7 linked regions of the Oryzias latipes genome follow. The protein of the gene in region 7 interacts with the protein of the main gene of each other region in a pairwise test. Links are inferred from orthologs where the notes say so. Each region holds a gene or a part of one and is shown on either strand. Other genes may lie near its edges. The genes, in order: ric8a, dusp12, syt16, nif3l1, snx15, pbx3 and rabac1.

Region 1 (3,500 bases), on a different chromosome or scaffold from region 7:
GGCTGCTTTTTCTTTTCTTACTAGCACTGAGCTGCCGCTCCCCCTTAAATTTGCCCGTATGGCCCGTGCCTGAAGCCGCCACTAAACCCTCTGACTCCCTTGCATGCCAGGGAGGGTGATCGTATATTCCTCTGCATGAATGTTTCTGGCTGTTTCACAACTATTTAGATTTGGAGTCATTTTTCATCTGTTTTCTTTCTAGTAGAGGATAAAGGGGGAGATGAGGAAGGGGAAGCAGATACGCTCAGAGCTGCAGAGAAGGAAGCCTCTCCTCCTGCAGAGAACCCTGATCTGGAGGTGATTGTCGAGGCTCTCAAGTCCATCTGTAACATCCTGCTTCACAACGAGACTGGACAGGTGAGCCTGTCGTCAGCTCTGCAGCTCACAGCCAGCGTTTGGTTAGAGCTGAAGTGTTGATCTGATGACTGTCTGCTGTTGATGACAGGCGGTGGCGGCAGAACTGCAGCTCATGAAAGGTGTGGCAGAGAGACTGAAACACTGTCGTGATCCCACGTGGAGCTTTGAGGTATGAACCTCCTTCACACTTATTTTAATGTTAAAGTCAAACACTTTTACCAAACCATCTAAACATGAAAAGAGCATACAAATGTAGCTTCAGTGATTGTCTGTCTTGACTTCTTCTCTGAAAGCCTCCAAACAAATCCGTTCCATTTTAACAGAACACTTTCATGAGATAAAAAAAAACAAATCAGTTGATTATATTTGCTCTTTTTTCTCCCTTTAGAAACTGTCTTTGAGCAAAAACACTAAACATCGTATTTGTCTGTGCAAGGACACTTTCAGTTTAAGAAAATCCTAAAACTCTGGTAAGATTTTGTCTTTACTACAGACTGCTGTCTGGTAAGATGTACTGGCTAGAAGCAATGTGTTTGTCTTTTTGTGTTACACAAAATGTGAGTCATTTACTTCTGAATGACTCGTGGATTGATGCAAAGAGAAACAGACCTCTCCTGAAAAAAGCAGCAGAACTACAATGGATGAAGAAAACATCAGTGAAACTTTGAAAGTTCTTTGGAGAGCGGTCTCTCAGCCCAGAAACCGAGTGACGTTCAAACGTTTTGCACCGAGGGCCAGATTTGGTGAGGTGAAAATGAGTGATGGTCAACCTTTTGGCCTAACATTCTTCGAACTATTTTAATAGCATTAAATGCAAATGAACTACTTAATGAACATATGTTCATAATTCACATACAATACAAATATATCTAAATCCATTTTTACATTCCTTATTTGTCACACCATTCGTTTCCAGTTAGCTTGTCGCTGATGGCATCTCAGGTAGCTCTTCTTGATATTGAAAACAGCCATAGTCTCTTGGCATATTTGACAGACGCAGTTGTTTCATATTTCACTAAAAAAAAAAGCCCATGTCTTGGACTTATCCTGGTGGCGGTGGTTCTCACTGTCAACTTTTCCTTTCATTTAAAGTTGACATTTTAGAGGTGAGCTTGAAAGAGTCACAGAAGGACAGTGTTGCCATGGTTTTACATGTAGTTAGGCCAATCACAATCAGGAAATCCCCCACAGTTTGTAGAAAATGATGGGGGCTGCATATTACTGTTTTGATGACAGGAGCCATCCGGCCGGTGGAAATTTGAACGCTGATGCATTTGGTCCATATGTTGCAGGCTAAAATAGTTCTGGTCATGTTTTGTCCTCAGACTTGCTGTTGTGCTTGTTTTCCAGGTGCGTTTCTTTGACTTGCGCCTTTGCTTCCTGCTGACCGCGCTCAGGGTGGACGTGAGGGCACAGCTGGCTCAGGAGCTTCACGGCATCAGTCTTTTGGGTAACGTGTGAAGTGTTTACTCTGCTGAGTTCTGAGCCTGTCTCTCAACATCGTCCTGCAGCTTCTGGAAATGTTACAGAGTGACAGAACTTACAGAGTCAAAGCACAGAAGAAGAGGAGGAGGAATGGATGTGATGTCAGAAAGCACCGCAGATGCTTGAGGAGCTGCAGACAACTCAGAGAGGGGGGGGGGTTACAACTCTTCACAATAGTCAGAAAAACTGCCTGTATAAATGCATTCAAGCAAAAAGCTGCTATACATTATCAAACTTGGCAGAAATGGGGGCGTAGCCTCTGACTGACAGGTGATTGTGCAGATGTCTGCTCAAGAAACATATGATTGGGCTTGTTCCCACAGCCAACAATCCAGCAACTCCTGCATGGCAGCTTATGTTGCTGTTTCAGCAGTTTGGTGCAGTTAGAGGGAACTGTTTTTGGAGTTGACTTTGGCCGGTGTGGGGTCTGTGGCTCCTCAGAGAGAGAGCAGCTGAACGTCTAATGACATCTTACTTAGTTCATTCATTTTCCATTCCCTTTTGGGGTCACAGGGCTGCTGGAGCCTATCCCGCCCACTTGTAGGCGAAGGCAGGGGATGCCCTGGACAGGTCGCCAGTCTGTCGCAGGGTGGAATGGCCACACTCACACTCACGGGGAGAACATGTCCCCCAGCTGGGACTTAAGGCAGGGCCCTTCTTGCTGTGAGGCAAGATTTTCAAATCAAAGCTAAAAACTCATCTTTTCCAAATGGCCTATTAACTTTAACATTAACCTTTTCATGTTTTTATATATTTTTTATTTAATTTTGTATTTATTTAAATTGTTGTTGTTGTTTTAAGTGTTTATTGTATTTTATACTGTATACATGCTGTGCGGCGACCTTGAGTGCCCAGAAAGGCGCCTTATAAATAAAATGTATTATTATTATTATTATTATTATTAAGAGCACTAACCACTGCACCACTGCGCCACCATGCAGTCTATCTTACTCAGTGAGATGGATTTTATCTACGCTGGAACTGGACTTCTACTGCCGATGAGGATAAATAGAGAAGCTTTTAATAGAAGATGGAAATGTGCTGAGAAAAAGATGCCTTGTTTTTTTTTACCAGGTAACCAGCTGGATGCTGCACTGGGTCTATGTTGGCCTGATCCTCTGGAGACAGCCAGGGTGGGGCTGGTAGGGGTCCCTCTCGAGGAGATGCCTCCTCTGAGCAGACAGCAGACAGAGCTAGCCATGGAGATACTGAAAATCCTCTTCAACGTCACATTTGACACAAACAGACGCAAAGTGGATGAGGTAACCACAGTAATGCCACATCAAGGCCAGTTTATCTTCTCAACATCTGAAAACCACAGCTGCAGCTTGACTATAGGTCAGCATTTCTACCTGACAAGCTTCTTCTTCTGCACGGCTGCACACAGTGCAACAGGCTGAAGATGAACCTCTGATCGGAAGATTGATATGTTGAAGTGTCCTTGGGCAAGGGACACCACCTTGCCTTTGGTGGTTGGCGCCAGTGTTTGGCAGGAGAGCCACCATCAGTGTGAATGTGACTGTAAAGTGCATTGGACCTTCAAAGAAGGTAGAAAAGCGCTATATAAGTATAGTAGGGGGGTGTATTGGCAAGAGTCTGGTGATACGATACCGATCCCAATATTGTACCGGAACACGTTTTTCTCTTTTTTTGTAAGA
Region 2 (4,157 bases), on a different chromosome or scaffold from region 7:
TCTTTTATCCATCTATCCATCTTCAGGGTCACGGGGTTGCTACTGCCAACTCAGCAACTATTGTGTACACCCAGAACAGCTTGCTAGTCTGTTGGAGGGCCACACACTCACACACTCAGATGCAAACCTAGGGACCTTGGGGAAATTTAGAGTCACCAAATAATCTTTTAAAGCAGGATTTTTGGCTGTGGGAAGAAGACAGAGTGCCATAAGAAAACATGGAAACTCCACAAAGAAAGGTCCCAGCCAGGATTCAAACTAGGGCCTTCTCTCTGGGAAATATTATTTTCTCTTCTTTTATTGTTATCGTATTTTAATAATTGCAATAAAAATTGTAATTTAAAACAAAAACTAACACCAGCAACCATTTGGTCAATGACTGAATGTTTTTGGATCAGTAACATCCAGGTGCACATTAGGGGTCAATCTGCTCTCCTTAATACCTGCTCAGACCCATCCCAAATCATTCCATACATGATAACCTTTCACTCATAAAAAAAGCCCCATCACAACACATTATTTCACACATTATTTCACTGTGGTAATCAAGTCAAGTCTGACTGACACAAATACAACAATAGGCTTTATTGAATCTACATTCTCAGTATATGCTGTCAATTGGAATCCTAAAAACTATTGCTTTTAATACACGCTTAACAAAATATAATATGGTTGGAAAACTCTGTTTTTTTTATGTAAATGTCTGCAGGACATCAGTGTGTGTAAAAAATGTTATTGATTTCTTAAAATAGGCCCAAATTTTATAGAGTTCTTCAGATTTTACATTACTACAGAACAAAAAATTTCTTCCCAGTAGAAAATCTATGTTTGCCATATGAGCAAAATGTGTGTGTTTAGTTGTGTGAGTCTGCTTCAATGATGAGTTAAACTATTTGAAAAAAAACACCTTAAATGGGAAAAGCTCTGTCTCTGAATCTCTTTTCGTGTTGGTTACATATTTATGACAAAATTCTGCTACAAAAAAGTTGAAAACAGAAATAGAAAAGGCAAAATTAAGTTTTAAGACTCAGATTGATGCTAGGCAAACTTTATTAAACAGTTCCCTGATCACTTAAAACTTTTCTGATCAGAGAGAGCTGTTTTTTTGGGCTCACGAAAGCTTCAGACATGACCCCTTATTAAGTTGTTGCTGCATGCATTATATGAATCTTTGGGTTTGGGAAATTACATGGTTATTATAAATAAAAATTTGTAAAAAATTAGAGCAAGAGGAGTAGGTCATGACATTATTTTTGTTTTAGTAAAAATATCAAACCTTCCAGCAGAACACAAAAAACACGTGTTGGTGCGATCATCATCAGCGGAACTATAAAATGATGTCGTGTTTCCTCCCTACAGCTTTAAGAGACGAACAAAAACACCAGTCCCGTTGGTGCTCACGCCTTTAGGGTCCGTCTTAAAGTTAGTTTTTGTGTGTTTTGCACGTTTGATGCTTTGAGGTTTGAAGCAGCCAAAATTTGCAGGAAGGAAAGAAACGACATACTCAAGTAAATGAGGTTAGTTAACGAGTTTAGTTAACGGAGTTAGTTAACTGCGAGGCTGGCTGTCACAGCACCACGGTGTTATGTGCACGCGTGTTTAGCAGCAGGGCGTTGCTGTTTGGTAAGAAATCAGGTAATTGTCTTGGTATGTGACCCGAGAAGGCTGGGTTACATTAAGCCTAAATTAAAGATGAAGATGGAAGCTCGGTGATGCCATTTAAATCCGTATTGCTCTGTGGTCAGAGAACCAGTCACACATTTGAGTGTTACACTGTAGTTTTTATAATTATCACAACAAAATGTGATACTTGTAAAAATTAAAGGAAAAGTAAAAATTGGAAAGACATTTAACGTGGAAGATGCTGCGTTTTTTTTAAAAGTTGAAATAGTGAACATAAGGAGGGAGGGAGGGAGGGGGGGATGAACATATAAAAATCTTCAAATAAACATATTTTAGTGACGTCACACCCCCTTATTTAAGTAATTAAAAGAAGAAGAATAAGCATATTTGCCATAAAATGTGTTATGACTTTATTAACATACACACTAATTCCATAATACAGTTCACAGACAGCAGTAAGTAGTAAGACGTTCAATCCTCTTCACTCACTCTGTATCCTTAGATTTTTTAATTATTTATAGTGAGGAATGTTTTTGTTTCATAGAGACGTTTTACAAATACTTTTATTACTATATGTAAGCAAAGAAAACAAAATATCATGTTTTTTCACTTTGCTTTTCATTTAAACAAATGAGATGCTTTGTGAAAGGCCAGAAAGTTCTGTGTAGCTAAAATGATTCTACCTGGAAATGAATGGGCCAGTTTCAATATCTCAATAATTCCGCAGATCAAACTGATCAGATGGTCTGCTCCACAACTCTTCCTGTGCTCAGTAATATTGAGGACTTTTCTTCATTTTTCTCTTTACTTTCCTTTAATCCCTGTGTGTTTTTCTGAAGTCATGCTGCTCGTAGATCCAGGAGTGTACATCGGCACTGCAGCTGACCTGAACGACTGCCAGGCGCTCGCTGCAGCTTCGGTCACCCACATCCTGTCTGTGGAATCTGTGGATCCTGGTCCACAGATTCCTGCCACAGGAAACTTCATCAGAAAGTGGATCAATGCTTTAGATGAAGAGACGACTGATCTGCTCAGTTACTTGGACGCCTGCAACATATTCATTGATGAGGCTGTAAAAGGGGGCGGAGCTACACTGGTTCACTGGTAAGAGTCAAATATGGCTTCATTATTCCTTTCTGTGTTTTCCACGCATTCCATCCTTGAATTTATGCAACCATGTGCAATCTGAATCCATTTTGGTGCATGATGACACGACATATAAAAGCACAAAATGCAGAAGGACAACGCTTATTTAAAAACTATTTTTTGTGCACATTAGTCATGCAGGTCGAAGCCGCAGCGCCACCATTGTGACTGCATATTTAATGAAGAAACACCATCTGGCCTTCCCTGAAGCTTACCAAAGACTGAAAAGTGTCAAACAAGATGTTCAGTAAGTATTTGTCATTCCCTTCTCTCCCAGTATGTCTTCTGTTTGTGTTAAGGGTATTTCAAAATTGGCTAGGTCAGTTTGTCAGCATTGTAGGTAAGCAATTGGCTGTGAAAAAAAAGTTTTTCATGTTTCTGTCAATATATTTTTGGAAATTACAGTTAAAAAAAATTCTAAAAGTGCTTCTAGTGGGCTGCTCATTAATAAAAATATTAATTAAACCTATATCAAATGTGGGGGTTCATAAACTCAGCTTTTTTTTTGCTATTAAAGAAAGCTTAACTTCTGTTGAATACATCTTCTGTCACTTTATCACAACAAATGTCAGCAAAAAAAAAGAAAAAGATTTTAGAAGGAGCATGTAGAGAGGAAATCTTTGTCCCATCTGTCTCTTGATTGGCTATGACATATTTTCCTTTGTGGCTGATTTGCCTCCAACATCTACTTTTCAGAAAACTGAAGACTTGAACTGCATTTTCACCAGAAGTGAACATTGAAAAAAGACTGAAGCTTTTATTTAGAAACATAACAGACGTTGAAAGTCAATGTACATGAAAAAAATCAGTTGTTATAAACCTGATAAAGGAATATAGAAGTAAAGCAGGGTAAAAGATTTTATGGGGACTATTTCCATGATTTTTTTTTATCATTTCAGAAAAACAAGTTTAAAAAAATCTTAATAAGTGCATTGTCATGTATACACCAGCAAAAGGTAAAACTGTATTTAAAACAAGAGCTTAAAAGATAACATTTGTTTTTTTTTTGGGTGTGTTTCAGGGTCAACAGGGGTTTTGAAGAGCAGCTGCAGCTGTATGAGTCCATGCTATGTCAGGTGGACACATCTAGTGCTTTGTACAAACAATACAGGCTGAACAAGATTGCAGAGAGATATCCAGGTGAAAGCAAAGCTTTGCTGCTGTGGATGAACACCAGGAGGGAATTCCTTTCCCAACTTTTGTTTCTTATTATTTGTGTATAAGCAGAGTTGCAGCAAGTCCCAAGAGATATTTTTGCTAATGACCCCGCCCACTCCAGCTCCTCCGAGGTGTCATACAGATGCCGGAAGTGCAGGTGAATTGCTTAGAAATATTAGATATGGTAATTAGTGGCTAAATTTTCTTTAGCATAAAAATCTTATTTTTTT
Region 3 (3,984 bases), on a different chromosome or scaffold from region 7:
TAATAATAATTTGCAATTGCACGTCCTTACTCTCTCCTAAACAGCATAAATTTAGTCTTTTTTAGATTCAATGATAATTTGTTCCTATTGAACCAATATTTTAACTTGTAAAATTCCTGAGTTATTTCACTTAAAAGTTTCTCTTAAGTTCTGCCCTGAACATAAAACATTGGTATCATCTGCAAAAAGTATGAATTTCATCATTTTTGATCATTTGCAAATATCATTAATATAAAGTAAAAACAGAGTTGGTCCAAAAATTGAACCTTGAGGTACACCGCAGATGATATTCCTATTTTTAGATTTCTTATTACCAATCTGTACAAACTGCTGTCTATCCTCCAGGTAGCTCTTTAACCAGTTTTGTGTTAATCCTCTGATTCCATACTTTACCAATTTATTCAGTGAAATATGATGGTCAATCGTATCAAAGGCTTTCTGCAGGTCTAAAAAAATTCCAAGGGAATTTATTTTTTTCAATACAGTTAGTAATCTCTTCCAGGGGGCCGGTTTAGCTCGTGCTGGTTTGCGGCGCCTTCCGTCTGTGAAACCAGGGTTTGACTCCGGGCTGCTCCCTGTTCCCTTCTTTACCTCTGTGCCGGTCCCAAGCCCGGTTGCTTTGAGAGGGTTGTGTCAGGAAGGGCATCCGGCGTAAAACATTGCCAAGTTTACCATGTGACTTGTTCGCTGTGGCGACCCCTGATGGGAAAAGCCGAAAGAGAAACAACAACATTAGTAATCTCTTCCACAAGTTCGATTATGGCAAGGGATGTAGATCTTCCTTGTCGGAAGTCATATTGACTGTTGAATAGCAAATTGTTTTTATGTATAAAGTTAAGTAATCTTGAATTATATAGTTTATCTAATATTTTTGAAAGCTGAGGCAATAAAGAAATTGGACGGTAACTTGTAAAACTTTGCTTATCCCCTGTCTTAAATAAAGGAATTACTTTGGTAGTTTTCATTTTGGTGGGAAACTGTCCACATTTCAATGACAAATTGAAAATGTAGCGCGCAGGTCTCTTGATAAATGTGATCTTTTTACAGGGTTTTCAGGGGTATGCGGTTCGGAGGCAGCTGGCGCCAGATTCCGTTAATCGTTAAGACATTTTACGTGACCCCCCCTCCCCCCCCCCCTCTAAAGAGGCTGCTCCACATCACTTCTGTTTGCTGTGATCGGAATCTGACGACGTGCAGCGGAGCGTTCAGGATCACTGTGAAGTGCAAAGTTCCCACAGTCCGTGAAGGCACCGTGAGGCTGCAGATCTGCCGCTCCGCTGGATGAGAAGCGGCGGGGACGCTGCTGCCTGATGTCCGCCGTGGAAGCTCCGTCCGCCCGGAGGAAACGCCCGCAGCCATGGCCTCCTCGGACAGTAAGTGGCTGTTGGAACGGGTTCTTCTCTTTTCATTTAGCCCGGAACGGCACGCAGGCCATTTTAATATTAGATTGTTTTTTCCTCGCGCGCTGGCGTAACGTCTTCGGTTAACGTCGGTGCTTCCGGGGAGTCGTGGTTTGCAGCATCTTCATCCTCTGAGCTGCAGCAGCTTCGTCAGGAGGAAGAGGAGCAGACAGCTCCGCAGGTTCCTCACGCACCTGCTGCGTGGCTGCACCCCCCACCCCCACACTGTGGTCTGTTGGTGGTAGCCCCCCCCCCCCCCCCCCCCCCCCCCAACAGAAGTCCATGGATGCAGTGAGAACCTCAGAGCATCCATGCTGCTGTGTGTCCTCCTGCAGAGCTTCCTGTTGTAGCCCTGGAGGACAAAGTCTCACAGCAGCTTCAGAAATTTATAGAAAAAATCCTATTTTTTTGCAGATTTTTGGATAAAATTTCTTCCAGAATGGACTGCACGGTGGTGTAGCGGTCAGCCCTTTCACCTCACAGTGAAAAGAGCTTGATTCAAATCCCAGCTGGGATCTCTCCGTGTGGAGCATGTGTGGGTTTTCTCCGGCTTCCTTCTACAGTCCAAACACGTGCTTATGGTTATTATGTGTCTCTAAAATGTCCCTATAGGTGAGCATATGTGTGTGTGGTCCTGCAACAGACCGGTGAGCTGTTAGGGTACACCCGCCTTGATTCAAATGTAGCTGGGATAGGCTCCAGCAACTCCCTGAAAGGGATTCAGCGGGTTCTGAAGATGGATGGATGGAGCGGCAGATTTAGCAGTTTGGGGGCGAACAACAACATGGGGCCCCTCTGAAAAATAAAATCCTTCCTGTCGGGTGAAACATCGAATCCTTACTGGTTCACTTTCAGACAACATCAATGTCAAGTGTCCAAATGTTTTGATAAGAATTTAAAAACTGAAATCATGTTGAAATGTAAAAGAAAAAAAGGATTTTATGATCTATACATTATTTTTACTTTGGAAAAATGAAATGTATTAAATGCATTAATTTGTTAATCTCTCATTTTCTAGAAGGAATGAACGACAGATTTCTGTCTTTTCTTTATTTGTCAGCACTTAAAAAAAGAACTATAGTTCATTTTTACTAAAGTGCATTTTGTTATTTTTATTTAACTCTTTATTTTTCACCTATTTTTAAAACACTTGCATAAATATTACTTAATAAATTTAATATTTATATTACAACAATCACTTAATGTAATTTTCTGCAACCGCTTGATACAAGGCTTTGAAGTAAATCCACAGAATTCCTTTTGAGTGAAGTTTTACTAAAGAGTTTTGTTTTAATTTGGTTTTGTTTTTCCTATTTTATCCGTCTTTCAGCACTTTTGGAAGTTTGGCAACAAAAGTCTTGTTTACTTTTTGCCTTTTCCTCTTTTCATAGCTGCCTGGATCACTCTGCTTCATTTGACCACTTTTTAAAAATAATTTTGATTCATCATTTAATCCCTAAAAGAGAGGACATGGAATATTAGCTTACATAATAAAAGGCTTCCCATTATTAGCATATGCTGAGTAAACTAAAGGAACAATCAACCCGTCTCACTCAGGTTTGCGTCATCTCTCGTGCAGCAGAACTCGCAGCCTGTCATCTTCTAGGACGTAGTTTCTGCAGAGCAGCTGGAGGAGAAATTCATCTCTGAGTTGTGGAAGCAAACCCATCCCCCCTTTATCCTCTCTGTTCCTGAGAGCTCTCTGTTTACAATATCTCCCCCAGGCTCACAGCCCCTGTTTAGATCAGGATCAGGTATTCAGCTGTCCAGTTTAGATCCAGATCTCCCCTCAAACGAGGAAAACAAAGACAATCGTTGATCTATTTGTCTGCAGGTGGATGCATCAGAATGGAGCAGAGCAGGGAACTGGTGGCCTGCCGTAGTAACTTCTACATCACACTTACAGGCCTTTTCCAACTGTATTTTTTCGTGTGCTCCTGATTTACAATGATTTGGATATAGAAATACTCAAAAATACAATTTGAAGCTTTATTTTTTCCCCATAAGAACATGCTAAAAACACCAAAACAGCACTTTTCTTGGAGTGGGTCTTCAACATCCCTGAGCAGAAAGACAAAGCAGGATGCGGACTCCCCCATACCCACAAAAAATATATTTTTTTAAAGAAGATTCTCTACCTTAACTTTATTTTACAGAGGAGATTTATTGTTCCTTCTGTGGATAATTTCCCTCTTCTCTCTCCTTTTGTGGCATTAATGTTGCATCATAAATGTCACGTGTGTGCAGGTTGCGCTGCAGCTTAGCAGAAATGAGCTAAATAAAGGATAGTTTTGTATCAGAAGGTTGTGTAACCTTGTCTCCTCAGTCCGCTTGTGGTTCCAGTAGGGTTGATGATAGACACCCAAGAGAACTGTGGGAAAAACCACCACATTTCACAGAGGATGTTCAGGTGCGTCTCAGGAGAGTTTCAGTCCAGAACTTCCGGGTCTCTTCAAGGTTTGGAGAGTCCAGAACCTCAGAATCTTCTTTTTCTGTTTTCTCTAATGGTTTGGAAGAAACCTCACATTTCACAGATGTTTTCAAATCAACGTCATGGTTTACCCGCTTTTTTTCCCTGCCGGTT
Region 4 (4,219 bases), on a different chromosome or scaffold from region 7:
GAGATTACAGTGGAAGTGAACATGCAGAGCAGCAGGTGAACGCCGTGCAGCCGCAGAGAAGACCGACTAAACTTTGTTGAACAGGTGAGCTGTATGTTTATTGATAACGTTCCAAATGTCTGGAAAGTCATTTGTTCGATTAACGATTCATTAAAGTTGTATTTATTGATGGTTGGTTTGCAGGATCTCTGCAGCCCGACGAAGCCGTTGTCGGTGTCCCTGCAGCTGTTCGCTTGAATCCTTTCTTCCTCCACCAAAGACAAGACTCTACGTCTGTGTGACGCTTCCGTCACACAAAAGGAGGAGCACTTTTTTTTTTTGGCATTTTCAACGTTCCAAAGCTAATATAAAACACTATTTTCATTCCTCTTTATTGTTTTATGCTGAAACGGGACATTTCATCTGCAGGAGGGGGCGTTTGTAAGACTGTTTACTTCCGCATTGGTGTTGGGATGACAGGTTCATGACGTAATGAGACAAATGAACTTCAGGATATGTGAATGGAAAGGAAAATAAAGGCTGCAGCGGTCCTCTACACCCAAACGTGTCTCTGAGCTCCTTATTTTACCTATGAAACTCCGCTTTACTGACACTGAACCCCGGAAAGACTACTACACGGAAACTAATCTGATTTTGAGTCGCCAAAAGGTTCAGAATCTCTTTGTTTTAAACCTATAATAATCCGGAAATGAAGCTTCACAAAAGGCTCCACATACTTCATCTTCAAGCTAGGTTCCGATAAACGGACAACTTCGGTGTTTTTTCCTTAATCTACGACTTTTTTCTCGTAAATTTATGAGATTTTAAGTCGTAAATTTATGAGATAAAAAGTCGTAAATTTACGAGTTTTTATCTCCTAAATTTACGAGATAAAATCTCGTAATTTTACTTTTTTTTTTTTTTTGGTGGCTCTAATTTTTTTTTTTTTGTGGCCCTAATACTCCGTCGTACATTTCTGAATATATTCCCCAAAAATCTCAAACAACCTGGTTCCTGTAGAGATTAAGGATGTTCCTCCATCACAGGCCTTAAGCTCCTTCATCACTGTGTTTAGTTCCTCTGTGCTTCTCACTGTGAACTCGAGTTTATGACAGTGGGAGGCGTTACCAAGAGCCTGACTCAGCACAGACACTTGGCCGCTGCCTGAAATTCAAAGAACAACCCAGAAAAAAGCAGATTACAGGTTCACATGCAGCCACAGCAAGCCTAATGCAATTTCCTGCCAGAAGAGCTCCTTACCAAGGCCTGCAACCAGCCAGTCATTTACCCCTCCTTTAACACTGTCCCATGAAGTGTGAGGGGAGAAGACCGCAATCCCAGCCTCTACCGCCCGGATGGCCAATCGCTGCTTCCAATCTTTCTGGTTCAGTCGCTTAACAGGACGGAACAACGGCGGGTGATAGGAAATAATGAGGTCACAGCTCAAAGCCTCTGCTTCCGCCATGACTGCATCTGTGAGGTCGTTGGTCAGCAGGATGGTTTTGACCGGCCGAGGTTTGCTAGGCTCGACCAGCAAGCCGACGTTATCCCATGACTCAGCAAGAGACAGAGGAGCGAGCTGCTCCAGAACCTGCAAAGTTTCCTTTAACTCCATGGGGCCAGTAAAGTGGGAGCAGTGAGGAGGCTGGAAGGCGGAGGAGAAAGGAGGATGCAGAAAGGATGAGCTGTTGATGATTCGCTGTTGAGGAGACGAGGAGACAGAGGGAAGAGAAAATGATGCTGCTGAGGCAGAGAAGTGGAGTTCACTTTTAGGCTTGAACCTTTTACACATCCAAGTTCTTCTATGTACAAGTGATGCAAAGATCAGAAAGAGATTCCTGCATCCAGTCAACATGAGTGGACCATCTGCATAAAACAAAAAAGAACACAAAAGTGGGCACTGGGTGCTATTTTTTCCCTTTCGAAAACATATCATTAAAATTCAAGTTCCCCAATTACAAAAACGAACAATCACTGCTAACTTTAAATACATTTTTCTCAAATATCTTCAGGTTTCATGTATTTAGTTATTATAATATCACCTATAATAGCCCTTAAATGCCTTCAAAGAAGAGGCTGTAATATACTTATTTATTCCTAAAAGCAACAGCTTTTTTTGCTCGGTCGAGCCGAGCAAACTTTCATTCGTTTTTATGCATATATACTTTGCTCCAAAAATTTAAGTCTGCATATAAGACTTTTTTAAAGGCCATATTTACCCTCTGAAGAAAAACTTAATGTGACTTTATTTCCAGTTTTTTTTCCTGACCACAATATTAATTTTTTAAGATATTTCATTGGAGATTTTGGACTACTTCACCACGTAAAGTCGTGGAAGATTATAAAACTAGGTCTGATCCACCAATTTTGCTGAATTTAAGTAAAAGCAAATTTGGATAATTATTCTAATCCATCTAATCCATCAAATAATAATTAATGATTTTGATAGAAACATAATATACACACACGTATGTTTAAATAAAAAGATCTACTACCTGCACACGATTTTTATATGACCAACACAAGCACAACAATGAGTGACACACATGCGGCTAAGCACAACTACCTACCCCTAGCTAAGCTAGCAGATTAGCTGCGCTACTAGTGTCTTGTAAATGTTGATAGAAAATCACCCATTTTATCAAAATTCAGTGTTGCTATGATGAGGTAAAAGCCGTTTCAGAGCATTGGCAAATGTAACGATCTTGTCATACGTTCAGGAAGATATCAGAAACTTTGTGAGCTAGCATGAACCTCTGCGACTGTCAGTCAGAACTTTCTGCACAACCCTATAAATGTCCCTTTCGAGCTTCCGTTGTGTATATCGACAAAAAACGGGACATAAATAAATAGGCGTGGCTTCTGTCACATTATATTACGATACAATGTTTTAAAGATACATTATAATGCCAACATTATGACATTTTATTTTATTTTATTTAACTTTAAATTTTGAGCATTTATTTTGTTTAGGATATTAGTTAAGATTCATTGTCTAATTTTGAAAAAGTTCTCGGAAGGAAAAGTCGCTTTTAAAAGATTTGATTATAAATATGGTGAAATCTTTGGTTAATTTTGTGGCAACTGACTCTTATAAGGTTACCTCAGTTTTAGCATAGTTCCTTTAATGTCATGCAGAAAATCATTTCTGGAATTTTTCCAAACAAGTTGAATTCTTTTAACCACATTTTTAAGCTATGCTCCTTTCACAGGAAAAATAAAGTTCTTTAAGCATTTATTAATTTTCCTGTCCTTATGTTCAAAAAATTTGTTCACAAATACGTTACCAAAAAAAACCTTTTTGACCTGCAAATATTTACAGAGCTGTAAGCACAACGTTGAAACTATTGGTCAGTAGGCTAAAAGTGCAGAAGCTGCCTTACTCTGTCAGTGAGTAGTTCTTTATTAGTGATAAAAACAGTTTAATTCTCTTTAGACTGAAATTCTCTGACTGTGGACATTGCATTCTAAAAATGAAAGCTTATTTGAACAAACAGCTACTGACAATATGTCAGAGACGTTAAATGGAAACCAAGAGGGCATTAGCTTTAAAAGGTGCGTTTAATCAGCCATCCTAATAAATCCTTTTGGTGTTGCATAATAGAGCTCAAATGTAATGTTATGAAACAAAATTACTGATTACTGTCAACAGGAAAAGGCTAGATGACTCTGATAAGCTGTATTAATTCGAGTGGGCAGGTGGTCCAGAAGATACCCAGGGATCCACTTGCCTTTTCTCAGAAAGATTACCGACCACATAGTAACACGCAGATGAAATCTGTCTGCAGCTGGTGGTCGTGAAGGGGTTAAACATGCATTTTTGGCACGACAGCAAGCTTCTGGACAGAATGGCTTCTTTTGGATTAAGTCAGAGAGTGACCAAGAGAGAGATATTGGGGATTAATGCATTAAAGGTCGATGCTAGATGTTAGGAAGGGGGATCAGGGAAGGATCAGCGCAAAGGCCAGCCAGAGTGTATTACATCATCTGAGTCTTCCTTTGGCCTCATCTTTCTGTCCGTGCATGACATCTATCAGAATAACAAGGTCCTGCTCTTCCAGCAATCACACAATTTACATTGTCAGGACAGTAAAAGCATTGAAAAATCTGAGGTGTTGAGTTTTTGGAACAGAAACAAAGACTTAAAAAACACTTGAAACAAAAAAGTATGCTGTTATTTGGAGTTACCGTATACATTGCTTTGTTCTCAGTTGTTTGGTTTAGCATATTGGCTTTTTTT
Region 5 (2,277 bases), on a different chromosome or scaffold from region 7:
TATGGAGATTTAACCAACAGAGATGCTGCCATTAAAAAACAACAACATGCAGCTCTGACCGGGGTGGCAGAGGCAGAGGGGGAAAATAAAGCCGGGGAAATGGGGACGGGTATCACTTATGGGTCATACAACACGGCTCGCTGCTTTAATTCAAAACTAATAGTCTTATTAATATGATTTTTTAGATCAGTGTTTTAATTTTATTCAAGAAGTTTTACAAAGAAAAATAACCTATTTGTTAATTTGAGGTCCCATACAGTTTTTTTAATCAGAACTGCAATATTTCACATCCCTGTGCCTTTAATTTACAAATTGGATTCAAACATTGGCTGCATGGTGGCGTAGTGGATAGCCCTCTCGCCCCTGGTTTAAGTTTGCAAGCTCTCTACATGTGCAGGTTTTTTCCGGGCACTTCTGCTTCTTCCCACAGACCAAAAACATGCTTTATAGGTCATTTGGTGAATTGAAATCGTCTCTAGGTGTGCATGTGTGCATTGTCCCGGCTACCAACAGTAACCAGGACAGGCTCCAGCAACCCCATGATCCCAAAAGGGCTATAGCGGGTTAAGATGATGGAGGGATTTTACATTTTGAATAAGCACTTGAAGGAATCCCTTCTTTTCTATTCCAGAAGCAACGGGCTTCTCCTCCGATCACTCAGAGCTGCTCTCCCTGCTCCCCTCCAGTCTGAATGGGGGGGACGTGGGATACCTGAACCAAGCAGCCAAGGAGCTGAAGGCCGCCATGGAGAGGGAGAAGGAGGGAGAGTTCAGCTCTGCCATTCGGGGTTACAGGACGGCTGTGGATATCCTGATCACTGGAGTGCAAGGTATGGTGAAATATTTATGGATTGTGCATACAGTATCCCAAAGCTTTTATTTAATCTTTTTAAATATATTTTACTTTTAATTTACAGATATTATATACAAAAACATAAAAAATAAATTGGGAAGCTAACAAAGCAACATTTCCTAGTTCCATCATTTTATCTTGCAAGGTTTATGATGCACATTAGGACTCAAGAGTCATGTGATGAAGCTAAGGACCCATGTTTCTGTTGTTTTTAACATGTTCTTGGAGCATTTTTCTATTATAGATATTAGGAGAATTAAGCTTAAAACAGCATCTCTGAGTATTTCTTTATTCAAATTGTTGTAAATCAGGAGCAGACAAAAAATGCAGTTTGAAAAAGATTGAAGTTTTGGCGTAAAAAACATGCACTGAGCGGTGCCACAAGCTGCCTGCTCTGCTCCATTCTGATTCATCCAATAGACGACTGGATCCATGGAATGTGGGGTTAGGGGTTTGAGGGGCTGGAAGCCAGCGAAAGAGTATGTAAACAGAGAGCTCTCAGCAGCAGGGAGGGGAAGGGGGTGGGGGTTTCTCTGCACCAACTGTCCCGCTATCAACTTAGAGGCGAATTTTAACGAAGTTCTGCCGCTCTGCAGAAACTGTCCAAAGAAAACGACAAGTTTTAGGACACACAACTTTAGGCCAAAGAATAAAAATGTGGTATTTTTGAATTAAATCAACAGAGTTTAGATTATTTGTATTGAAGGATACTTAAGTAAATTTAGTTAGATAACCTTCCTGTTACTGTGCTGTAAATTTCCGCTGTATCCAAATTTGACATGCAGGAGCTGCTTATCTGAAATGATCCATAGGCTATTTTTGTTCCTCAATGCAACTGTTTCCTCTGTGGAAGTAACATGGCGTAAAGGTATTGCTATGGTCCAGTTAGGATTGTTTGTGGATTTGCTCCAGAGCAGCTGCACAAATGCATTTGCTGCTGTTATTGTTTCCACATGGGGGAGCATGTTTCAGCGGACTGGCATCCACAGAATGAAGTGTCCCCACGCAGGATCCGGTCAGCGGACGAGTCCGTCGGGTCTGTGGCAGAAAGGCTTCAGGCTCCCTGTCTGAGGGGGACGGTTACACAAACGCAGAGGACAGGCACTAGTGGATCCATCCTATGACACATTCTTATTAGCTTGCAGCCACTCTTCCCCTTTCCTTACTCTAAAGTTAAGATTTGAGTATCAAGCAAAATGCATATGGAGTAACATCTCTTTGATCATCTTTATTTGACATTTGTAAAGCTCTTTAGAAAATAGATCAAATCAGGTGCAATAATTGATTGAGCTAAAGAAAAGTGGTGGAATAATGTAGGATTCTGGATCTATTCAATGCTTAATGATCTAAACAAATGTGTATTTGTGAGTTGTAGCACTACATGATTAGCAGGTGACCCTATTGAGAGGGTTGTGAGTAAAATCA
Region 6 (4,293 bases), on a different chromosome or scaffold from region 7:
AGAAGCAAGCAGATGCTAGTTATATTAATTTGAATTGGAGTTTGATTTGGGTATAAACAGAGATGTAGGATTGTTGTTAAAAAAATATTTTTAATGAATACAATCTGGAGTAAACTGATGCTATATTCAATGATTTTCCTGGTATATTTAACCTAATATTTTTGTAAAAATTAAATAAATTGTTGCATACTCAGACATTGAAATATTTTTATTTATCTCTCTGAACATTTAAAGTAAAAAATATATATAAAAATGTTAAAATTTGAATAAACTAAGTTTTGGGAGATAAAGGTTGTGCAGTGAGGTGTTAAAATCCCATTCATTTTTTTGTTTTTTTTTTCCTGCAGTTTTGAGCTTGAGTGTAGGTATTTTACTTTTTTCACATTTCCACAAATAAAGAACAAATTCTCTCTGAACTCTAATTACCTCTGTTCATCGCTGAGTAACTTCAAAAAGTCACAAATGATCAGAATTCACATTTTAAAACTGGGTGAGGTGTAGACAGTCCAGTTTGACTTTTATAAAATGCACTTTTCTTTGCGAGAAATAATGCATGATTGTAGGTGTTTTTCTTCTGTTTCTGTTTGCAAAGATATTAATATGAAAATAAGTCTAGGAATAGAAAACCACGAAGTTTACTGTGATGCTTCATTTAAAGAGGAATCACTCCACAACACTTTCACTGGCGAGACATATGTAGTAGTGTTTTTCTTTTCTTTTCTTTTTTGTTATATTCCCATCTAAATTAAAAATAAAAGTAAAATAGAATTAGTCTATGTAAGGACCAAAGAAGAATTGGAATTAAAAGGGTGTTTTAATGTTTTTTTTAATTATTTTTTGTGTTTTTTTTTGTTTGTTTTTTTAAGATATATTTTTGTCTGAATTAAACATAAATTAAAATAGTATTCACTTGTTTAAGGACCAATGCAGAATTGTTATTTAGAAGGCTTTTACTTTTACTTTATTTATTTATTTGTTTGTTTTATTTGTATTTTTATTTCGAAGATTCCTGTCTAAATTAAACATTAACTAAAATAGTATTAGTTTCTGTAAGGACCAAACCAGTAAATTATAATTTAGAGCTGTAAAAAGCCTCAGAGTACTATCAAATAACCCTAAAAAAGTCCACACCTCATTTTTTCCATCTTACTACTTAATTCTTTTCGTGAATCCGTGCTAAACTCTCACTGTAGAGGAGCATTTTTGTTGCCTTGTATCCAGCTCAACAACTTGTCTGCTGCCATAGCAACTGCGGAGGAGCACCCAGCGCGAGCGCCGCCCGCTTCGTTCAGTCGACGTCACGCGTAGCAACGGCCAATCACAAGTTCCCATGTTTTAGCAAGACTGACACACGAAGTGGGAGGGCGTTTGGCAGCTTGTATCCTCCGCCAATTGGACAGAGGGCCCGTCACTCTCTGCTGTTCTCGCCTTTGATTGGCCAGTGAGCTTTACTTCCAATAATATAAACATGTCTGCCGCTCGCATGGCTTGAACCGAGGCTTGAAGAGCGACTATGCCACATCAAACTGTATAAAACTCCCATGAATTTGCCTGCGGTGTGGGGGCTAAATCTTTATTATTGTTGGAGATAATGCACATAGCTGCACGTGCACGCGTCACGGAAACGAGGACACCCCGCCGCCGCTGCAAGAAAGACAGAGGGGACTCTGCCGTTCTTCTATCATTCTAATCACCATCCTAAGTACTAGCTCCTAACATTTTGTGTTTTGGGGCTCAGGCGAGAAGTGACAACAACATAGACCCCTCCTCTGCAGGGCGGAGCGTGCATTTTCATTTCGTATTTTGTCTTTTTTTTCCCCTACCATTGTAGCCTGCTCTGACACGTCTGCACTGAGTGAGTGGCATTGGCACACTGTCAATCGCTCACTACCGCTGCCATCAAACACATAAAACACACAGGCAGAGGCTGCAGCTCATAAATTTCAGCAGGGCAAGATATTTTTTGCGCATCGTCTTAATACACAATCCTAATTAATTTCTTGTCGTTGTTGCTGCTTTATTTCCTTAACCAGAAATCTTCCAACTTTTTTTGGTTAAGATTTCATATTTTTATAGGAACATTTGGACACCTTTGTGCTACAGATTGTTTTTTTTATTTTTTATTTTTATTTTTTTTTACATTTGACAATTGTCGCTGGAAACATTCCGCGCATTTTGCTGGCAACACCTGCCGAGATTTCTTTGGTCTGTTTCCACATTTGGATATTTTTTTGTTGTTGTTCAGCAGGAGGATATTTTTAAATTTTTATTTTAATTTTTTTTTGGCATCTTCAAGAGGAAATGTGCCGGGAATCTGGTGAAGAGCGCTAAATAAATGAGAGGTCACTAAGGAGCGTTTCTGTCAACACCGCCGGTCAAATCAGAGCAAGAGGTGGAAAAAGAAAAAGACTGCTGCGAGGACTGGATATGATGGACCGTCAATTTTGACAAAGAAGTTTTCGGAAGAAGAAAGATTCATGTGTTTTCTCCCAAATAGAGCTGCGCGTTTTGGCACTTTGGACCGCGCGTAAAGCAGCGAGACGACGCCGACAACTTGGACACATTTTTACGCCTCAGAAAAACAAACAAAAACAAAAACATCCCCCATTTAGTAGTGAGACCGACAAATAAGCCAAAAAGGGGGACATCTGTGCTTTTATTTTGGCCGGACAATCAGTCGTCCATCCTTTCTGCTTGCGGCATATGCTATAGCCGATTTCGTATATGAGTTTTTCAATTTGTGTGGCTCAGTGCACAGACTCTTTAGCGGCTACTATGGACGATCAAGCCCGGATCATGCAGTCGATCGGCGGTGTTAGTCTGGCCGGCCACTCGGTGCAAGGAGGCATGGCACTGCCGCCTCCACATGGACACGATGGGACAGACGGAGACGGACGGAAGCAGGACATCGGTGACATTCTGCATCAAATAATGACCATAACTGATCAAAGTCTGGACGAGGCGCAAGCAAAGTTGGTTGATTTCTATGATTTATTCCATTGACTGTCCACAAAAATAGTCCCCAGCTGCAACAATGTAATCATGTGGCCCGGTTTACTTTGACTGCAATGTGCGTAACAATAGGCTGAAGTGGCTGGAAAGATGTGGAGGTGTAGCTTGTTGATGGCAAAATTGGCACAGAAAAATAAAATCCAAAGTGGCTGCGTTTTAAGTTGCAGAAACTTTGAGTTCACTTGTTTTAAAAATGCATTTACATCTGCAAATAGTTTCAAACCCCCTATATTTTTTTGACAGAAAAGATCATCTGAAGTTAAAAAAAATCATTTTTGAAGTCATCAGTGCTTGTTTTCTTTCTTACATGTCGCTTATCAGTGAACTTATTTCAGTATTTTATTTTTTGTCTTATACTGAAACAGGAAACATGGACTGAACTGTCACAGAATGAAACCAGCACTCTTCAGCGTTCTCTGTGAAATCAAAGAAAAGACAGGTAAGACCAAAAACACATGCAGAAGTTAAAAGAAAAAAAAAAACCAACAACTAGTAGAACATGCATTTTATTGCATCTCCCAGTAATCTAATGACATCCTTCATCCAAGTTACACAGAATTTCCGCCCAAATGAATCCATCATCTTCTGGTTTAAAAAAAACCCAAAACCAAAACAAAGCAAACCAAACTAGCAAAAAACAAAAACATGCCATTGTGCCGTGAGGAAAGGCCACTGCTTGCACAGTACAGCAGGTAGATTGTGTTTCCCCTGAAGACGCTTTTGTTCCTGCTAAAGTCTTGTTATCCAGCACTGGTTGCTTGGATTTAAACAGAAAGCACGCTCCTTCATTCAGCCTCATCACGCTGGCACAGAATAGGATGGGGAAATCCCGCAGCATATGCTCTACACAACTAAAGATCACACAGAATTCATGCTTTCTAACATGACAATTGCTATGCATTTTAAGGAGACTATATAGGCACATAATCTGTTATGGAAACGGGGACATGAACAACAGTGTGGATAAATGCAAATTAAAGAACAGAAACAAATATTGATTGATGGAAATTTGAGTTTTTAAAAATTATGGAAAAAAATTGCTGCTGGCGTATTTGCTTTATGAATGGCAAGTAAATTACAGTTCACATTTTACTGACTTATTTTAAGAAAAAAACGGTCCTTTATTTAAATGAATACCACTGTATTTACAATATTAAAGTGTTAATGATGTAGAAAAACTGTAGACAGTTATGAATAAAGCTACAATAAAATGATCATACAAATTTGCACAGACTTCATCAAATACCTGATATTTATGTGAAACAAGAAAACCTATAAGCA
Region 7 (4,265 bases):
TCTGATGAGGGACATTAAGCTGTTTGCCTGGAAAAAAACAAAGTTGGCAAACACATGAAAACATAATTCTCTGTGGCTTTCTATAAGATTCTCCCATTTCATGCATGGCTGAAAAAAACTCTGAAAAAAAGTTTTTTCACTTTCAGGCAAGTTAAGGACAGCAGTTTTTCTGTTTTACTTACCAAGAACAACCAGTCTGGACTCTTGAGACTTCAGGTGGATTATGTAGAAGGCACCAAGAAACACAGCCAATGCAATCAGTAGCATAGGGGAGCTTATACTGACAAGAAAAGAAAAAAAAAAAGGCTCATAATGCTGTTACTGATTCAATCTTTTCTTTTTCTTTTCTCAATCCCGGTGGCCTTAGTGTGTGCAGTCAGTGTTGCATCTGTTATTTCATAAAACTTCAATAATGTTTTGAGGTAAGGCCAAAGCAAACTCAGGTTTACACCTACATGCAGTACAGGATGAGACCCAGGAAGATGAAGGTGTAGTTGCTGTTGTAAGTTTCCACATTTTTCACCACTCTCTGGCATGCATCTCCGAAGTTTCGTGGTTTTGAAAACTTGCGTTGGTCCACAAAACTGGCCCACGGTCGAATGGACAATCGGCGCCTATCAATCCACTCCTTGGCCATGCTGGCAGAGAAGCCTTTAGGGAGCCAGAGCCTACAAAATAAAGGTAAAATGGTAATAAAGCGTACAAACTCTCAAGGAAAAAGTCAATGCATTACAACTTTTGACAATATGAGCAAAACAAAAAAGTATTTTGTAGTTTGATTAAGGAAATTCTTAGAAACTTTGACAAAACAAAACTTTAAAAAAAAAAAAATTTTAAGTAATGAGGCACAGTCTACAGAACAGGAGGATGAGGATTTAGGACTAACTCCACCCCCAAAAGTGGATGTGTAAAGACAGTAACTCACAGAGCCTTAGCACCATTGCTGTGGTTTTTCTACAAACGCTGTTTAATGTCCACGTCCATCACCGAAGAAAGTTGTTTGGGTCACTAAACTCCTTTTTAAAAAAAACAAAACTGACTCGTACTTTGAAAGGATTCCAGCTCCACCCGTGCCAGTTGGGTGAGCATCTTCAGCCGTAAACAGATCTCCAGCCTTGCTGTCCATGTCCACTTGACAGTTCTCTCCCTTTGGTACTCCAGATGGCATCTGCAAACCTTCTCCTGAAAATAAAAGAAAATAGAATAAATAAAATAAAAGAAATAGTCTTAAGATTTTTCCTTCACATACTTTTTTTTCCCCCTTCTTCGGATCAGCACAAGATAAATAGTCCAAAAACTGTGTGGAAAAATGGCCTTCCTTTATATGGAGATAGATGTTTTTTACGAGAGATGAAGTGGGATAAAAGAATATTAACGTTTTTGAGTTTGAGGTTGTTTAATGAAGAGCCTAAGTATTAATAATAATTATAGAAAATCATAAAATAGAAAATATATACATATGACTGAAGACATATACCCAAATACTACAATGGGTAACTGAGTAAACAAATGAACGGAAGATAGAAGCTCAGGAAAGATCTGACTCCTTTTCTTTTCCTTTTTTGCCTATTGTTTACTGTTAACATGCAGATAAGTGCATGCCAAGTTTGCATGTGGGATGTTGTTACATCATTGGGTTTGTCAAGTGGTTTAAAGATTTTGTTTTGTTTAGTTTCTCCATTTTGCTTCTAAAGTTAATTTAAAAAAAAAAAAAAGAAAAAAAAAGATTGTCTTATTGGAAGTTTGCATTTTTCCTCGTATTTTTCAATGTACAAACGATATGTATCCTTTATAAAACATGTCAGAATTTTTCTGGATTCTTCTTTATTTTCCCCTGTTTAAATGGGAAATAAAACACCATACACCATACAACCATACAATCTTTACGATTTTTGTAACACTCCTCGAGGTGCATCAAAAGCAAACTTAAATAAATAAATAAAAAAGGAAAAAGGAAAGGAAAACCTGTTTACTTTATTTTTTAAAGGTAAATAACAATTGATATATTTTATAAAATGTGTTTAAAATGGAGAAACAGCAGTAACTACAAAAGAAAAACTACATGATCACTAGTTTCCACATTATTCTTAAGAGCATAGAGGTTAGATTTTAATTCAAACTTGTTCCTGATTGGCCAGAAACATAGGAGCGGATCTCGTAAGTGGAAAATTTTTGTCAACAGGGCTTGGTCACTGCCACATCACTGACAAAGGCCGAGAACTGAGCCAGAAAACGACATTTTGAGCAAGTAAAAATCTTTTAAGGATCAAATTTGTCCATATGTGTCGAATTATAAGTGGAATAACTTTTATAAAATGAATACTACCTACTTCTTCGTGTCTCATGTTAAATCAAACTGATTGTACGAAGATCACAGTAATTTATAAACATTGAAATGAAAAGACATAAGATTTTACCTTCGTGATGTGTCAAATGTCAAACCTACAGACGATGTAGATACTTACAGACCAAGTTATGGATAAAAAGCCAAGTTGTTTTGTTGCTGTTGGTCCTCACGGATGTGATGTGGCTGAAGAAGAAGAAGAAGAAGAAAAGAACTTCCTACAACACCAATGCCGCACACTGCCCCCTGCTGGTTGCACCAAAGAACTCCCCAGTCTATGATGTTATTTTTTCCCTTACATTTAACCATATAAAAATATTTTATTCATTCCTCTATTTAACTTTGAAGTCGACAAGAAATCAAAAAACATTTTTAGTGCCAAAGTGACAGAGATTACTACCTTGATTCTTTTAGGAACAATCTGGGAACAATCGGTATGTTAAGTGTGGCAAAAACGTGACCTTACGTTATGAAACCCAGCCCGAGAGCTGTGATTGGTCAATTTACGACTCACGTCTAGCCACTGTCACGTCGCACGTTGCATTGTGGAAGTTGCTAGATCATCCAGCGTCAGGCAAGCTATCGCGGCTGAAAGGTGAGGTCTAATGCACTCTAGGAATATTCTCTTTGTGGAAAATGTAACCTAATAGTGTTTTAAAGGCGCGTGTTTAACGTTACGCTGTATTAGTTGACGCCTTAGCGTCTGCTAGACTAATAAGTTCAGCGGGATTCATCATCATGTCGTCGCACCGACCGTCGTTGAAACAAACAATAGACCGTCTTATTTGTCTCTAGAATTGTTTTTCTGCTAATTTTGCGTGGTGTTACGTGAAGTATAACTGCCAACGAGCTCCTGTGTGTGTGTTTTTAATCGAACAATTGAAGAGCTGTGTGTTTTGTATGTGTTGTCCCCCACCCTACTGATTACATAACTCTGTTCAGAGGAACGGTACCGAGTCGGTAAAGATAACATTAGCAATTGTAGCTAGGCATATATGACAGTAATTAAACACATCTCGATGCATTTCATTATAGGTGGTAGCTGCTTGCAAGTTTGAAGAAAATCTTAAATAGTGAGTGTTCGTTTGTGGCACACAATGTACACACAAAGACTTAACATGACAACTACTAGCTACAATTAAAATACCCACTCCGATGAAAATGAAAATTTAGCTTAGAATTGCATTTCTGAGTATTTCTTTATGCAAACTGATGTGAATTAGACGCAAAAAGCTGTTGCAAAAAAACGTGTAAGTGTGACGTAGAAGCTACTACACCAACCAAGCTCCCTCACTGCTCCATTCTGATGCTTCATTCTGACACATTTGGGCTTCATTTTCCTCGTCTGAGCTGCCATCTGGCTCAAAACTGTACGGTTGGATAGCTCCAATATTGTTCACAATTTTTGTTGCACCACTAATGTGCAGTGGAAGTTGTGATTGTGAGGGGCTGTAAGCGAGTGTGTAAAGGGATGGTGGTAAGGGGGGGCTAACTCCATGCCAGCAGTCCTGCCCACGACTCTGGGGGGTTAATTTCTAATTAACTCCTGCCGCTATGCAGAAACCTTCCTAGAAAACAACACGGGGAACGCTTTGAAAATATTTTAAAAGATGATCGGAGTGGGGCCTTCAAATTGTTACGTTTTTTAAATGAAATTATTAATTAAGGAACCTGATACCATTTGTTTGGTTTCAAGTTTCAAACATAAACATGGTTAAAGTAATTTTTTTGTGTTTGTTTTCTTTTTCCCCTAAACTCCACAGTTTTATTTGAGTGGGAAACTTGGAAAAAAGGGGTAAACCATGGCTTCAATGAATTATCCTGAATGCACACTGAAGAATTCCTTATACTGGGATGAAGCAGAGTGCCTTAACTACTATGGGATGATGTCTCTTCATGAGATGTTTGAAATAGTCGGAGC

Evidence for each region.
Region 1: the proteins of rabac1 (region 7) and ric8a interact in binary tests that used the Homo sapiens proteins (3 or more experiments, as listed by UniProt). The link is inferred for Oryzias latipes from reciprocal best matches to the Homo sapiens genes RABAC1 and RIC8A.
Region 2: the proteins of rabac1 (region 7) and dusp12 interact in binary tests that used the Homo sapiens proteins (3 or more experiments, as listed by UniProt). The two-hybrid records come from large-scale screens. The link is inferred for Oryzias latipes from reciprocal best matches to the Homo sapiens genes RABAC1 and DUSP12.
Region 3: the proteins of rabac1 (region 7) and syt16 interact in binary tests that used the Homo sapiens proteins (3 or more experiments, as listed by UniProt). The link is inferred for Oryzias latipes from reciprocal best matches to the Homo sapiens genes RABAC1 and SYT16.
Region 4: the proteins of rabac1 (region 7) and nif3l1 interact in binary tests that used the Homo sapiens proteins (3 or more experiments, as listed by UniProt). The two-hybrid records come from large-scale screens. The link is inferred for Oryzias latipes from reciprocal best matches to the Homo sapiens genes RABAC1 and NIF3L1.
Region 5: the proteins of rabac1 (region 7) and snx15 interact in binary tests that used the Homo sapiens proteins (3 or more experiments, as listed by UniProt). The two-hybrid records come from large-scale screens. The link is inferred for Oryzias latipes from reciprocal best matches to the Homo sapiens genes RABAC1 and SNX15.
Region 6: the proteins of rabac1 (region 7) and pbx3 interact in a two-hybrid assay, tested with the Homo sapiens proteins (2 studies listed by BioGRID). The two-hybrid records come from large-scale screens. The link is inferred for Oryzias latipes from reciprocal best matches to the Homo sapiens genes RABAC1 and PBX3.

Annotation. Positions count from the first base shown.
Region 1 is NC_019864.2:5,139,317-5,142,816, forward strand, and holds part of ric8a (synembryn-A), read left to right. Parts: intron 1-202; coding exon 203-357; intron 358-445; coding exon 446-526; intron 527-1,707; coding exon 1,708-1,807; intron 1,808-2,916; coding exon 2,917-3,104; intron 3,105-3,500.
Region 2 is NC_019875.2:21,143,335-21,147,491, forward strand, and holds the start of dusp12 (dual specificity protein phosphatase 12), read left to right. Parts: upstream 1-1,357; 5' UTR 1,358-1,517; intron 1,518-1,577; exon of another isoform or gene 1,578-1,635; intron 1,636-2,462; 5' UTR 2,463-2,464; coding exon 2,465-2,727; intron 2,728-2,902; coding exon 2,903-3,016; intron 3,017-3,790; coding exon 3,791-3,909; intron 3,910-3,996; coding exon 3,997-4,084; intron 4,085-4,157. UniProt on the Homo sapiens protein: Dual specificity phosphatase; can dephosphorylate both phosphotyrosine and phosphoserine or phosphothreonine residues. Can dephosphorylate glucokinase (in vitro).
Region 3 is NC_019880.2:23,657,749-23,661,732, reverse strand, and holds the start of syt16 (synaptotagmin-16), read left to right. Parts: upstream 1-1,184; 5' UTR 1,185-1,357; coding exon 1,358-1,373; intron 1,374-3,984. UniProt on the Homo sapiens protein: May be involved in the trafficking and exocytosis of secretory vesicles in non-neuronal tissues. Is Ca(2+)-independent.
Region 4 is NC_019877.2:7,709,729-7,713,947, reverse strand, and holds the start of nif3l1 (NIF3-like protein 1), read right to left. Parts: upstream 2,801-4,219; 5' UTR 2,730-2,800; coding exon of another isoform or gene 2,694-2,729; intron 1,846-2,693; 5' UTR 1,835-1,845; coding exon 1,240-1,834; intron 1,144-1,239; coding exon 987-1,143; intron 1-986. UniProt on the Homo sapiens protein: May function as a transcriptional corepressor through its interaction with COPS2, negatively regulating the expression of genes involved in neuronal differentiation.
Region 5 is NC_019876.2:12,564,201-12,566,477, forward strand, and holds part of snx15 (sorting nexin-15), read left to right. Parts: intron 1-631; coding exon 632-829; intron 830-2,277. UniProt on the Homo sapiens protein: May be involved in several stages of intracellular trafficking. Overexpression of SNX15 disrupts the normal trafficking of proteins from the plasma membrane to recycling endosomes or the TGN.
Region 6 is NC_019867.2:19,128,976-19,133,268, forward strand, and holds the start of pbx3 (pre-B-cell leukemia transcription factor 3), read left to right. Parts: upstream 1-1,493; 5' UTR 1,494-2,724; coding exon 2,725-2,972; intron 2,973-3,371; coding exon 3,372-3,451; intron 3,452-4,293. UniProt on the Homo sapiens protein: Transcriptional activator that binds the sequence 5'-ATCAATCAA-3'.
Region 7 is NC_019874.2:20,935,573-20,939,837, forward strand, and holds the start of rabac1 (prenylated Rab acceptor protein 1), read right to left. Parts: upstream 2,801-4,265; 5' UTR 2,745-2,800; intron 2,531-2,744; 5' UTR 2,466-2,530; exon of another isoform or gene 2,418-2,465; intron 1,183-2,417; 5' UTR 1,169-1,182; coding exon 1,047-1,168; intron 669-1,046; coding exon 456-668; intron 281-455; coding exon 183-280; intron 28-182; coding exon 1-27. Other genes in the region: dedd2 (DNA-binding death effector domain-containing protein 2), read left to right, coding at 4,147-4,265. UniProt on the Homo sapiens protein: General Rab protein regulator required for vesicle formation from the Golgi complex. May control vesicle docking and fusion by mediating the action of Rab GTPases to the SNARE complexes.